Linked DNA regions of Saccharomyces cerevisiae S288C. The protein of the gene in region 2 purifies or fractionates together with the protein of the main gene of each other region. This does not show direct contact. Each region holds a gene or a part of one and is shown on either strand. Other genes may lie near its edges. The genes, in order: ATP20, ATP5, ATP3 and QCR10.

Region 1 (2,704 bases), on a different chromosome or scaffold from region 2:
TTCATTGATTTGGACAATAACTTTTCTAGGTTTGACTCTTCAGTTTATAAAAACTTTCAAGAGCACCTAAGAAGCATTAACGGGTGATTTATTTTCTTCGTCAGTTTCTCTGTACATATATATGTATATATTTACTTATTATAATTCATAGCAAAATATATGTTTTTTTTTTTTTCTTATAGTGAGAAAAATTACTAATGATCCTGAGATCAATTTCACTGTAGTTTTTACTATAGTGCAACAAGTATGTTGTTCTTAATAAGTGTAATGAAAGCTCTGAGGTCAAGTTTTCTTTTTTACAGAAAAGTTATATTGGCCTATTTCATAAATAACTGGCGGCAAGAAGCTAATGTAATATAACTCGATATCGCTTTTAATGCCATTGTATGTCATGAAAAGAAAATAAATAGAATTGAGATGAATATATATTCTTTTTTCTAGTTTTGTTCTATTTGTACATTGATTTAATTTAATTAACGAATATACAAGGGTTTTGCGAATAGATAGAATTAAAAAGCTTAGTGATGTTTATATCCCACTAATTTTCTTCTTCCAATTATTTCACCGACAGAATAAAACCCTATCAACTGAATACCATATGCGCCATATTTTAATAGTTCATTCTTTTGGATGTTTTTTAAACACGATAAAACTTCTGTAGGCTTTAGAGCAAAGTTTAGGCTCTGCTTATAAAGGTTCGAATACACTGATTTGAACTGGGCAACAGTTGGTGGTTGAAGACCCTCTTTTAAATAAATCTGTTTTGAAATCTCGGCACCGACTTTACCATAGTATAAAGCCTTTGATGACAAAAGATTTGCTTTAGAAACCAACCCACTGGTATAATTTTGGATCCTGCTTAGCATGATGAATTGATTAGCGTTCTGAAATATGATTTATCGGCAGGTTTATCTTGTCGATTTGGACTGGAGTAGAAAATATGAGGGATCTTTGCATCTTCATTTTTCGGTCTTTAAATGTAATCATCCTTCGGGATAAATTTAGTGCGTTTAACAATATTTTCTTTCAGCCAATCAGGAATAAGAAAAAAGCCGCCCACTCAATCGAGCCTACATACAGTATTGAATAGTGTTACAAAGCATAAGGATGTAAAAAATACAAACTTGCTATAATTAATTAGTATTTATTAATTGTTACGCAGGGAATGATTGTAGTAGACAGCATCAGACACGGTTATTCAGGCGAACTGATCTCCTTACACCCTCGCCAAGGACAATGACCTTGTCCTCTTGTTGCAATCTTGACAAGGCTTCCTGGATATCAGAAGACTCAACTCTATCTTGAGAGTGTTCATTGATTTGTTTTATAAGCTCATTGAATGACATTGAGTCTGATGCCTGATCCTTCAAAACATTCATAATTTCCCTTGACAAATCCTCCTGTAGTTTTCTCTGAATAACTGATTTACCTGTTTGAACTAAATTCATGTCGATTTTACCGGTTTTAGGGTCTGTTGCATAATCTTTTATGGCTGATCTAATTAATCTAACGGCTTCTTGAACATCCTCCAGCTCTACGACGTTTTTCAATTTCATTTTGGCGTGCGCCTCAGCCAAACGAATCATACTTTCAAGTTGTCTTGTGGTAGCTGTGATTCTCTTCTCATCGGATCTCGAATCGTCACCCATCTTTCTCATTCCTACATAAGCACGAACAAGCTCAGTCTTAGCGGCCTCGGTGATTATTGGGTGTATGTGCTCCTTTGCATAACTAATATACATCGTTAAAAATTCAACTGGTAGCACGTCGTCTTGAGAAATATGTTCGGGCTTATCTTCCAGGTAAAGATTTGTTAAGTGTTTGGCTAGTTCTCTGTCATTTTTCTCATCAACCTTATCAAGGACAAGATAGACCAGATCGAATCTCGAAAGTAGTGGGGGCGGTAGATCAATATTTTCAGTCACAGGCAAATTGGGGTTGTAGCGTGAACCAATTGGGTTAGCACTGGCCAAAATAGAACTTCTGGCATTAAGTGTTGTGATAATTCCCGCTTTTGCGATTGAAATAGTCTGCTGTTCCATGACTTCGTGCAAGACGGACCTTGTAGAATCACTCATTTTATCAAACTCGTCAATACAACAAACACCTCCATCAGACAATACTAATGCACCACTTTCCAAAACAAGTTGTTTTGTGTCGACATCCCTTGTAATATAAGCAGTTAAACCAACGGCAGATGAACCTTTACCCGAAGTATACACACCACGAGGAGTAATTTTGTGAACGTATTGCAAAATTTGCGATTTGGAAGTAGAAGGATCCCCACAAAGTAAAATATTTATGTCACCTCTATAACGGCCACCCTTGGTAAAGGTTTTATTCGTGCCGCCAAATAGCTGAAGTAATATACCCTTCTTGACATCTTCTAGCTCGTAAATACTTGGGGCAATAGAGCGGGCTAATAAACTGTATAAATCTTCTCTTGCCGCAACCTCGCGAATTTTTGCTAAATCCTGATCAGTAATTTGTCTTACTTCTTCGACCTCGTTATGATCTACCTTGTTCTGCATTAATTCTTGTTCAATAGTAGAAGTATCGACGTCTAACCTCTTATCTGAAACTTTTTTAACGTGGACCACATCGACGTATGTTTTATACAACGACTTTAGTACGCGTTGCCTGGAATTAGCTCTAATGGGGATGGACCTGAACGTGCCAGTCACCTCAATACGATCGCCCGCCC
Region 2 (2,820 bases):
CCTTTTGCATACCTCCCGTTCAATTGCTGGGTAAAGGCAATGTCTCCGACTTCCCACGTTTGTATTTATTATCCATTTATATACATCAAGACATATTATTAAGTGTATAGGCGTGACTTTGACTATATATTTGATTTGTAACGAAAGAATACATCAAAATTCAACTATGAAATGGTTATTATTGTGCATGCACATCTTGAATTATCAAAAAGGTCTTAAATGTTCTTCGGACTTTCTTGAAATCTTCGAAAACTGATGAGAATTCTTCATTATTTTTTTTTTTCTTCTTTTATTATTTTTTATGTTTATTCCATATATACACTTATAATTTTTTTTTTTGCGATTAATATAAGTTTGCCTGGATACACGAACATATATATGATTAAAATGGTTGTCTCGAACAAAAAAATTCACTTTTTAGAGGGGTTTCTTATTTATTCGTATATGTACGTAATTTTGATGTTTAGGAAAAATTCACGGAAAAGAATATATATTTGAACAGAATCAAAAATTAGGAGGGAGGCAAAGAAAGTAACATCAAACGAGTTGAGCATATCCAACTATATTATTAACGTTAAATGCTGTCCTCTAAGACCTTATTCAGTTTTTGAATCTTTGTAGAAATGCTTAAGTCAACAGTCTTGTCACCAAGTTCTACAATCAAACCACCCTTAATCTCTGGCTTAACCACGTTTTCCAGCTTCAAAGATTTACCTTGCCCCACCAATTTGGAGGCGCTCAAAGCTTTTTCAATCCTCTTGAAAGATTTAGGATCCAATGGTTCAGCACTAGTCACTGTACCTTTAAGTAACCCGTTGTGAGCATCGTTTAAAACGCCAAAGTCAGACGCAATTTTTTCAAAACATCCCAGTCTGTTATTTTCGGAAAGAACCTTCAATAGGTTAACGACATAACCATCCAAATTCTTGTGAGTCTCCACGATGGCATCAATGACAGAATTTCTGTCCTTCAATGACAATGCAGGATTCAGTAATAAGTGACCTAATTTTGGATTCTTTTTGACTGTGCTTTCAACTTTTTGCAAAGATTGAAAGGCAGCATCAATAGAGGAGTTCTTTGCAGCGGCCTGATATAAAGCTGTTGCGTAAGTGCCCTCAACACCGAACAATCTCACCGGTGGGGGAGCAGCAGCTTTGGAAGCAGCAGCTCTTAAGCTTGATGCAAATGACCTGGTAAAGACTCTATTAAACATGATTGTCCACGGTTTAAAAATAATGCGGTAACTTGCTAATCGGTTCTTACTCTGCGGAAAAATATCTCAATGCCACAGTAGCCTGCTTAAATTTCCAAGTTGACTGAATTTTGTTTTCAATGAGATAAAAACTAGAAATACTGTACACAAAGTTAACAATTGGCGTTTGAAATTGTTCCTAGATAATTGAAAGTTTTACTATCTCGCCAAAAGATCACTTCATTATCTTTAATTCCTTGTTTTTCCCACCCGGGCCCGGGTAAATGATATTTCAAATATCAGCATCTTATTGGCCAGCACCGTCTCTCGAAAGTGTCCACTTTATGACGACGGCATAAAATATAACGATTTATTGGACGTAAGTAGTTTTATAAGTTACTAAACCAAGATTATTCCGGCAAAAAAATGAACTTTAAGAGATATCTGAGCGCTTCGTATTTCTTGGTAGTCCCTTATAATGTACTACATTTATGTAGACCAGGTTTGCAGCCAGATCTTACGGGAAAGAGATTTTACGGCTCCCAGTCCGAGCTTTTCCATATACTACTCTAATATACAATGCATTCTTAGATTTCTTAACTGCTGCATATGCTGTCTTTGGTCCTTTGCAAGCCTATTACTGCGGATTTAAGTTTTTTCCACTGATCGTTACCCGAATTTATGGGTTCTGAAAAATTAGAAGATGGAAAATTTTTCAATACGCGATGAGATGAGATAATTGTATATATGTAGTCGCATCTTGATAGGTATGCAGCGTACCATACATTGAGTAACAATAAGCACTGTTACCAATAAATATAGAGCAAAAAAAGATGGAAAAATCACTAGCGGATCAAATTTCCGATATCGCCATTAAACCGGTCAATAAAGACTTCGATATTGAAGATGAGGAAAATGCATCTTTATTTCAACACAATGAAAAAAATGGAGAAAGTGATTTAAGCGACTATGGAAATAGCAACACAGAAGAAACCAAGAAGGCGCACTATTTGGAGGTGGAAAAGTCTAAGTTAAGAGCAGAAAAAGGTTTAGAACTAAACGATCCAAAATATACAGGTGTTAAAGGTTCAAGACAAGCATTATATGAAGAAGTTTCCGAGAATGAGGACGAAGAAGAAGAAGAAGAAGAGGAAGAAGAAAAAGAGGAAGATGCTCTTTCATTCAGGACAGATTCTGAAGATGAAGAAGTAGAGATTGATGAAGAAGAATCAGACGCGGACGGCGGTGAAACGGAGGAGGCTCAACAGAAAAGGCATGCACTATCGAAACTAATTCAACAAGAGACTAAACAAGCTATTAACAAACTGTCTCAATCAGTTCAAAGAGATGCTTCGAAGGGTTATTCCATTTTACAACAGACAAAATTATTTGACAACATCATTGATTTGAGAATAAAACTACAAAAAGCTGTAATTGCAGCAAATAAGCTCCCATTAACTACAGAGTCCTGGGAAGAGGCTAAAATGGATGATTCAGAGGAAACAAAGCGTTTGCTGAAGGAAAACGAAAAACTGTTCAATAATTTATTCAATCGGTTGATAAATTTCAGAATAAAATTCCAACTTGGCGATCATATCACTCAAAATGAAGAGGTGGCGAAGCATAAA
Region 3 (3,337 bases), on a different chromosome or scaffold from region 2:
TTAAATTAAAAGCTAATGCAAATATTCTGGGCATACGCTTGGTAAAAAACCAAATCATTGAGATTGCGACCATTTTTTTTTTTTTTTTTTTGTTTGTTTGTTTGTTTGTTTACTATAATTTCTTCTACCAAAGACAAGCAAGAACCTGAGATAAAAAACATTTAACAGACATTTTACAAATATATACCAATGTCTTTGTTATTTCAACAGCACTATATATTGTTTTCATTTTCTTGGTTCGTTTCATTGCTACTTAGCCATATTTTTTTTAACTGACACATACATGAAACCATCATAATCTTAATGGGAAAAAATCCTAAAGCGAGAAGGACTTTCAAAAAAAAAAAGTTTTAAAAATGTTATAATTTTTGTATTTTACCTGAATATATAGTAGTGTTTAGTATTTATTATCTTTCCTTTTCTATTTAAGGTATTCTTTGGATATATACTTCGTCTCATCAAGTCAAAATTCGTTTCATGTTCTACAAAAACAACGTCAAATAAAGAGGCAATGCAGGGTGATTTTTTTATCATCCCAAAGAGGAAGCACCAGTAATAATATCAACCAGTTCATTAGTAATGACAGCTTGTCTTGTTCTGTTGTACAAGATAGAGTAACGATTGATCATATCACCGGCATTCTTGGAAGCGTTATCCATAGCGTTTCTTCTGGCGGAAATTTCAGCAGCATAACCTTGAGCCATTGCTGTCAACATTTGGTTAGCCAAAGTATATTCAAACAAATCTCTTGGAACGTTTGCGTCCGTGTCGATCTCAAATTTGCCGAATGATGGGGATTGTTCAATGGTCTTGGCGTTAAAGATCGGTTTTTCAGATGGTTCAAAAGATAGGGAAGACACTGGGTCATTGTAGAAAATGGAAATCTTTGGGTAAGTGCCGGCCTTCATGACACTCAATAACTTATCGGCAATCAAAGCAGATTCTTGGAAAGTTGGGGCATCTTTACCAATTCCATTAATAGACAATTTAATGTTGTTAGGATGGGTTCTCAATAGCTGCATTTTAATTTTATCACCAATAGTGACTATATCGGCGTTTGGTTGATCATTCAAATGTCTTCTCACAGCTTTAGCCAATTGAGAGTGGATAGAACCACACAACCCCTTATCAGAGGTGATAGCAACAATCAACTCTTTAGGAGCACCTGTTTCAGTAGCCTCAACATCCAAATTTTTGGTTTCGGCGTTCTTGTAAAACAACTGCTCTGCTTCATCCATCTTCTTTGCGGAAATTTTAGCCTTTTCAGCTTTACTCAATCTTGTAGATGCAACAATCTTCATAGTTTTTGTGATCTTCTCAATATTTTTGATAGATTTCAAACGCATTTCCACTTCTTTCAAAGTAGCATAAGTTCTCACTGGGTTAGTCTTATAAAGAATACCCACTTGCGCTTGGTGGCACATTACGGAGCGTGTTGCATTGTTTGATACAATTCTTGACAACATGACTACTAAATAAAATAATGTTTACTGCTCGTCTTCAATTGTTTCCACCTGAAATTAACCAAAACGGTTCAGTCTCAATAGTTTCTTATTTGTCTTTTTTAACTGAGTGATAATCATTTAAGCATCTCCCTTCCGGGCCTTCTTTAATCGTTATTGCGGTCCGGGTTCCTCGCGTAGTTACTCGCCGCTCATTGGTTCTCCATCACGTGATAAACATTTCTTCCAAATAAATGAGAACGTTCATTAAATATCGAATAATTCACTTATTATATCTCCATCATATACTTACTAGTTCTAGCGACAGCTCCTATTCATATATCTTCTTACTTTTTTTTTGTTTTATCGACAATTGCTCTACGTTTCGACGTCTAGAAAATGTACTAAAACAGTGCGCTCTCTACCCATAAGGATGAAGAATACGTAATAACAAGAGTTTATTCTCCTTAGTATGTATTTGATAGCACACTCAGAAAGATGAGTTACTACTTGGAAAATCTCAAAAGCTCTTGATGCCCAGCTCATACATAAAAAAACGCCGGAGAACTTTAGCGTCACCAGTTACTGCGACACGGCTTTTAGAGAGGAAAGTAAAGGTCTATGAGTAAAAAGATAGATTATGTTATGCTACATTATATTTGGTATTGAAACATGTATATTATATATAAAAAGTCTAAGAGAGAAATGTCAAAATATCCTAGAAGGTAATGGTTGTCATAACCTGTACATTCTAAAACAGAATGAGAAAAAAGAGGGAATGACGAGAAATTAGCTGAAAAATACTGGCATTAGCCCTTTTTGTGGAAAACATTTGGTAAGTCTAATTTAGAGACTTCCCATGAGCCGCTACCTTCAACTTTATTTCTGTAACTCACTATTATACGCAAGTATTTCATGAACAAAAAGGCCATGGAACCAACCACCCTAAAGGCAGCTAAAGCGGCCACAGACCATAAAATGAATATCAAATAACCATTGTCAGTATCTTGTGGTGTAAAGACTTGAATTATAGACATGATCAGTATTAGATTTGATAGCATCCAAATCATCACAATTCTGGTTCTTATATCTCTATAATAATCATTCTTGGATTGTTTTTCATTGCCGCTTGATTCTTCAAATTCTGGTTCTTTCAAACGACTTTTTATTTCCAAAAACTTCTTATCAACTTCCTGAGGCCAATCTGTTTCCACAATCTGTTTCCCATCTGGACCTTGAACGACAATGGCCTTGGACAATTGCTTGGACTCCTGTGTGGAACCTTTAGTACCCCAGGAAACGTCGTGTGTATTACAGAAGGCAAAAATCTGTAAAGTACACGTAAAGGCGGGAAGTGTCAAAAAGTATTGTATGGATGATGTAAACATGTGCCAAGGATCTAGGTACATCAGTGATGAGAAAAAGTATAGGCCATAGGTGGAGAGCAATGAGATAACGATGTCGACAAATATTTTGTGGGATTCCGTTCCAGAAGCTAACGACTTGAAAGCAAAAACAAACCCACAAATTAGAGAATATGTGGCACATATAGACAGTATAACCATGGAGGTAATGAATAAATGTTTCGCGCCCTGGGGTCTATTACCCATGGAAATAATGAATAAACTTGCCAAGTCACAAAAGATCAGGTATTTAAAAAAAATGAATAAGGCCTCACCATGTTTAATAACTAAATTCATTGATCCTGCTAAATAATAAAAGGTAAGAACGAAATTTGCAATAGAAAACCAGGAAAAAAGCATCTGAATAAATTGATAAAGGAATTCAACATGAAGAAAGAACTTGCGTACAACAGAATGTTTAGTTTTCCAAATTTGGTAGAAATGCAATTGAGCATAAATTGCGGCAAACATTGCACCATTTAACCAACGTCT
Region 4 (2,781 bases), on a different chromosome or scaffold from region 2:
GAGTTCTAAAACGGCAAAGTTTTCAAGTGCTTGGATTTACACTATTTGAGGTTATTTTAAGAGATGATCTTTCAAGGGTTTTAAATATTAATTATAATATTATTTGGTCTTTTCTTCCGGCGGGTTGAAAGTTCCAGCTGCGGGAGGAAGGTAAAGTACTCCATTTGAAAAAATAGAAATTACAAGAAACGGCGTTAGCATTGGCGTATGCCTAAATCATCAAAATGGCGAATGAAATAGGTTTCCCTGAAAACATAGAGATGTGCTGCCCAATTACAAAGCTCAAAAGATACATAAAAAGAGGAAAAACAAACCTGTAGTTAACTTTTCCCTACTCTTTGATAACTGATGTTTTAGTAAATATTCTGAAAATAGAGGGGTAAATATTTAAAAATGTTGTATGGATCAATTACTTTTTATACCTTTTATGATCCAGTTTAAAAATATGTATAGATAATCGAGAATATGCAAAAATAAAAAAAAATACAAATGTGTTTTGCATTAATTCCTCTTCCAAAATGATAGAAAAGAACGTAAAACAAATAAATAAAATCACTCAGCCGGTTGGATGTTTTGGCTTCAATTAGGTTTATCTTCTGGTGGAGTATGATCTTCCAATGTAGGTCCTAACAACGGAATCTTTTTGTATAGCGTATCTTGAAACTTAGGCCATCCTTCTGTGAATACAAATAGCCCAAGCATGCTAGCACCACCCCATAACATTAAATTCGGAGCATAAGCTGTTAAACTTCTTAAAGAAAGTCTACCGAAATGTAGACCAGTTTTTGAAGACAGATGAGAAGTGTACTGTATTATAAATGTTAGTATACTAATTCGGTTCTAGCTCACATAATATGATAGGATACTTACCGCCATTGAGGTTAGTTTTAAGTCTTATGGATTGTATTTATCGATATATTATTCGACTTGCGCTTTTGCTGTGAAGATTATTCCAGAAGATATCTATAACAAATTATGCATTCAAACTGTTATGTGATATATCCCGTCCCCTTGATAAATGGTATGGTTTTTTGATGCGGAAACAACGGGTTGAACCATATTTAGTTTTAATTGGATCAAAATCACGTGACAAAATACTACTTTGCAATAGTAATACGCACTTGAAAACTATGTAAATATAAGTATATATTCAAAGTGCGACAGCGTTATATCGCATAGCATTCTTCAGTCATTAGAGGTAGTGGTGAAGATTGAGGACAGTTTCGCGGCTCGTAACGTTAGCAAAAACTACCCATAACTAGGTGCATATTACACTGATATTAAATTACAGAGTGAGAAATCGTACTAGTATAATTAAAATAGAATGAGAAGCCTAATTCTTTTGGATTCCATGCTTTTTATAAGCCGGAATAGAAAATTTTTCAGTGAATGTCTGTCCTGGTAAAATCGGGGCAGTTTCCAAAATGCTCCTGATCTGTTCTTCATGCTTGTCGGTCCCTTCAGGGATGTGCTTGTAAATATAATAATCTAAATCCTCACCTGGCTCTGCCCTTCTAAATAGTTTTGAATGAAATTCAACGCCGTCTTCGGCCCTCTTTTTGGCCAGCTCTCTTTGGCGGTTTTCTATCTGAAACTTTTCTTCTGTAGCTACTTCATGGTCACGTACAGCCAGCGCATCCGTAACCTTCTTCCAAAGCCTTCTCGATTCGTATTCTCCCTGTTCCTCCAATGGGCGGACTTTAGGAGCTAGAGGAAAATGCTGATGAGTATCGAAGAGAACAGTCTTTTTAGAGCTTTTTTCCCTCAAATCTTTGATATACATAATATCATTCCACTTACCACTAATTTGGTAGTATTCCTTACCATCGTAATCCTTAATTGTACCTTCAATTGCATCATAGGTACCAGAAATAAAGCCCTTTGTTTTGAACTCAATATCCACTTGATACTTAGGACCCATAATGACCATGTGATCTCCCAATTCAATCCTCATCTTGCCAAACAGAATTCCCCTTGCGTAAACATTTGGTTGCGATAGAGTATATTTCTCTGGTTTACCATTTGCATCCTTGATATCAAGGAATTGCAATACAGTTAACCCCTCCATCATTGCAGCACTTGAGTTTCCTAAAAATTTCGATTTTGGCACAACAACTCCATCAACTCTAATATTCGATTCTGGAATCATGTAAAAATACGCAGATTCAGGAGGATGGTGACTCGTTTGTTCTGCAATGTAAAAGGCTTGTTGCTTGTTAGGCAAATCCCAATAAGCTGTAAAGTGTTCTCCAAGAATGGGATTTAGGGGCTTCTTCACAGCCCTGGGCCCAATGTGCCAACCTGCTAGGTACCATGCTACCACTTTAACGAACCTTTGCAGCCCGTCTTTATTGGAGTGTGCTTCTAAAAGAACATCTGGGAATTGTAATTGATTAGTGATTCTCTCCAACATCGATTTTTTTTCCAGAATAAATGTCGGAAGTGTGATTCTAGATAAATCACAACCTGGCTTCAGCTGGGAAATAATATTTAATAGAATACTTTGCCCAGATTCATCATTCTCATCGATATCATCCGTGTCTGCTCCGCTTGGTTTGGAATTTGCAGCATTGGATGCAATGCCGTTAATTGAGCTATGAGAACTGTTTGTTAAAGAAGGTATATTCTTTAGTTTATTGAGAGCCATTCTTTGTTTCTAATTTACTGGTTAGTTTCCTATTTCTAAATGAAAGAAGGAGGAATCTTTCCATTTTGAATATATCACATCCCTTCTTTGTTGACGATTTCAGAAAATATACTTTCATCCTTTAGAATTCTGGA

Evidence for each region.
Region 1: the proteins of ATP5 (region 2) and ATP20 purify together in Saccharomyces cerevisiae (affinity purification with mass spectrometry, with the first as the bait; 2 studies listed by BioGRID). This does not show direct contact.
Region 3: the proteins of ATP5 (region 2) and ATP3 purify together in Saccharomyces cerevisiae (affinity purification with mass spectrometry; 3 studies listed by BioGRID). This does not show direct contact.
Region 4: the proteins of ATP5 (region 2) and QCR10 purify together in Saccharomyces cerevisiae (affinity purification with mass spectrometry, with the first as the bait; 2 studies listed by BioGRID). This does not show direct contact.

What each region holds. Positions count from the first base shown.
Region 1 is NC_001148.4:598,032-600,735, reverse strand, and holds ATP20 (F1F0 ATP synthase subunit g), read right to left. Parts: upstream 867-2,704; coding exon 519-866; downstream 1-518. Other genes in the region: AGC1 (citrin), read left to right, coding at 1-87; MCM DNA helicase complex subunit MCM4, read right to left, coding at 1,185-2,704. UniProt on the Saccharomyces cerevisiae protein: Mitochondrial membrane ATP synthase (F(1)F(0) ATP synthase or Complex V) produces ATP from ADP in the presence of a proton gradient across the membrane which is generated by electron transport complexes of the respiratory chain.
Region 2 is NC_001136.10:1,057,602-1,060,421, forward strand, and holds ATP5 (F1F0 ATP synthase subunit 5), read right to left. Parts: upstream 1,214-2,820; coding exon 575-1,213; downstream 1-574. Other genes in the region: rRNA-processing protein BFR2, read left to right, coding at 2,026-2,820. UniProt on the Saccharomyces cerevisiae protein: Mitochondrial membrane ATP synthase (F(1)F(0) ATP synthase or Complex V) produces ATP from ADP in the presence of a proton gradient across the membrane which is generated by electron transport complexes of the respiratory chain.
Region 3 is NC_001134.8:313,704-317,040, reverse strand, and holds ATP3 (F1F0 ATP synthase subunit gamma), read right to left. Parts: upstream 1,467-3,337; coding exon 531-1,466; downstream 1-530. Other genes in the region: FIG1 (Fig1p), read right to left, coding at 1-73; chitin synthase CHS2, read right to left, coding at 2,252-3,337. UniProt on the Saccharomyces cerevisiae protein: Mitochondrial membrane ATP synthase (F(1)F(0) ATP synthase or Complex V) produces ATP from ADP in the presence of a proton gradient across the membrane which is generated by electron transport complexes of the respiratory chain.
Region 4 is NC_001140.6:105,921-108,701, reverse strand, and holds QCR10 (ubiquinol--cytochrome-c reductase subunit 10), read right to left. Parts: upstream 877-2,781; coding exon 871-876; intron 808-870; coding exon 580-807; downstream 1-579. Other genes in the region: oxysterol-binding protein related protein OSH7, read right to left, coding at 1,334-2,647.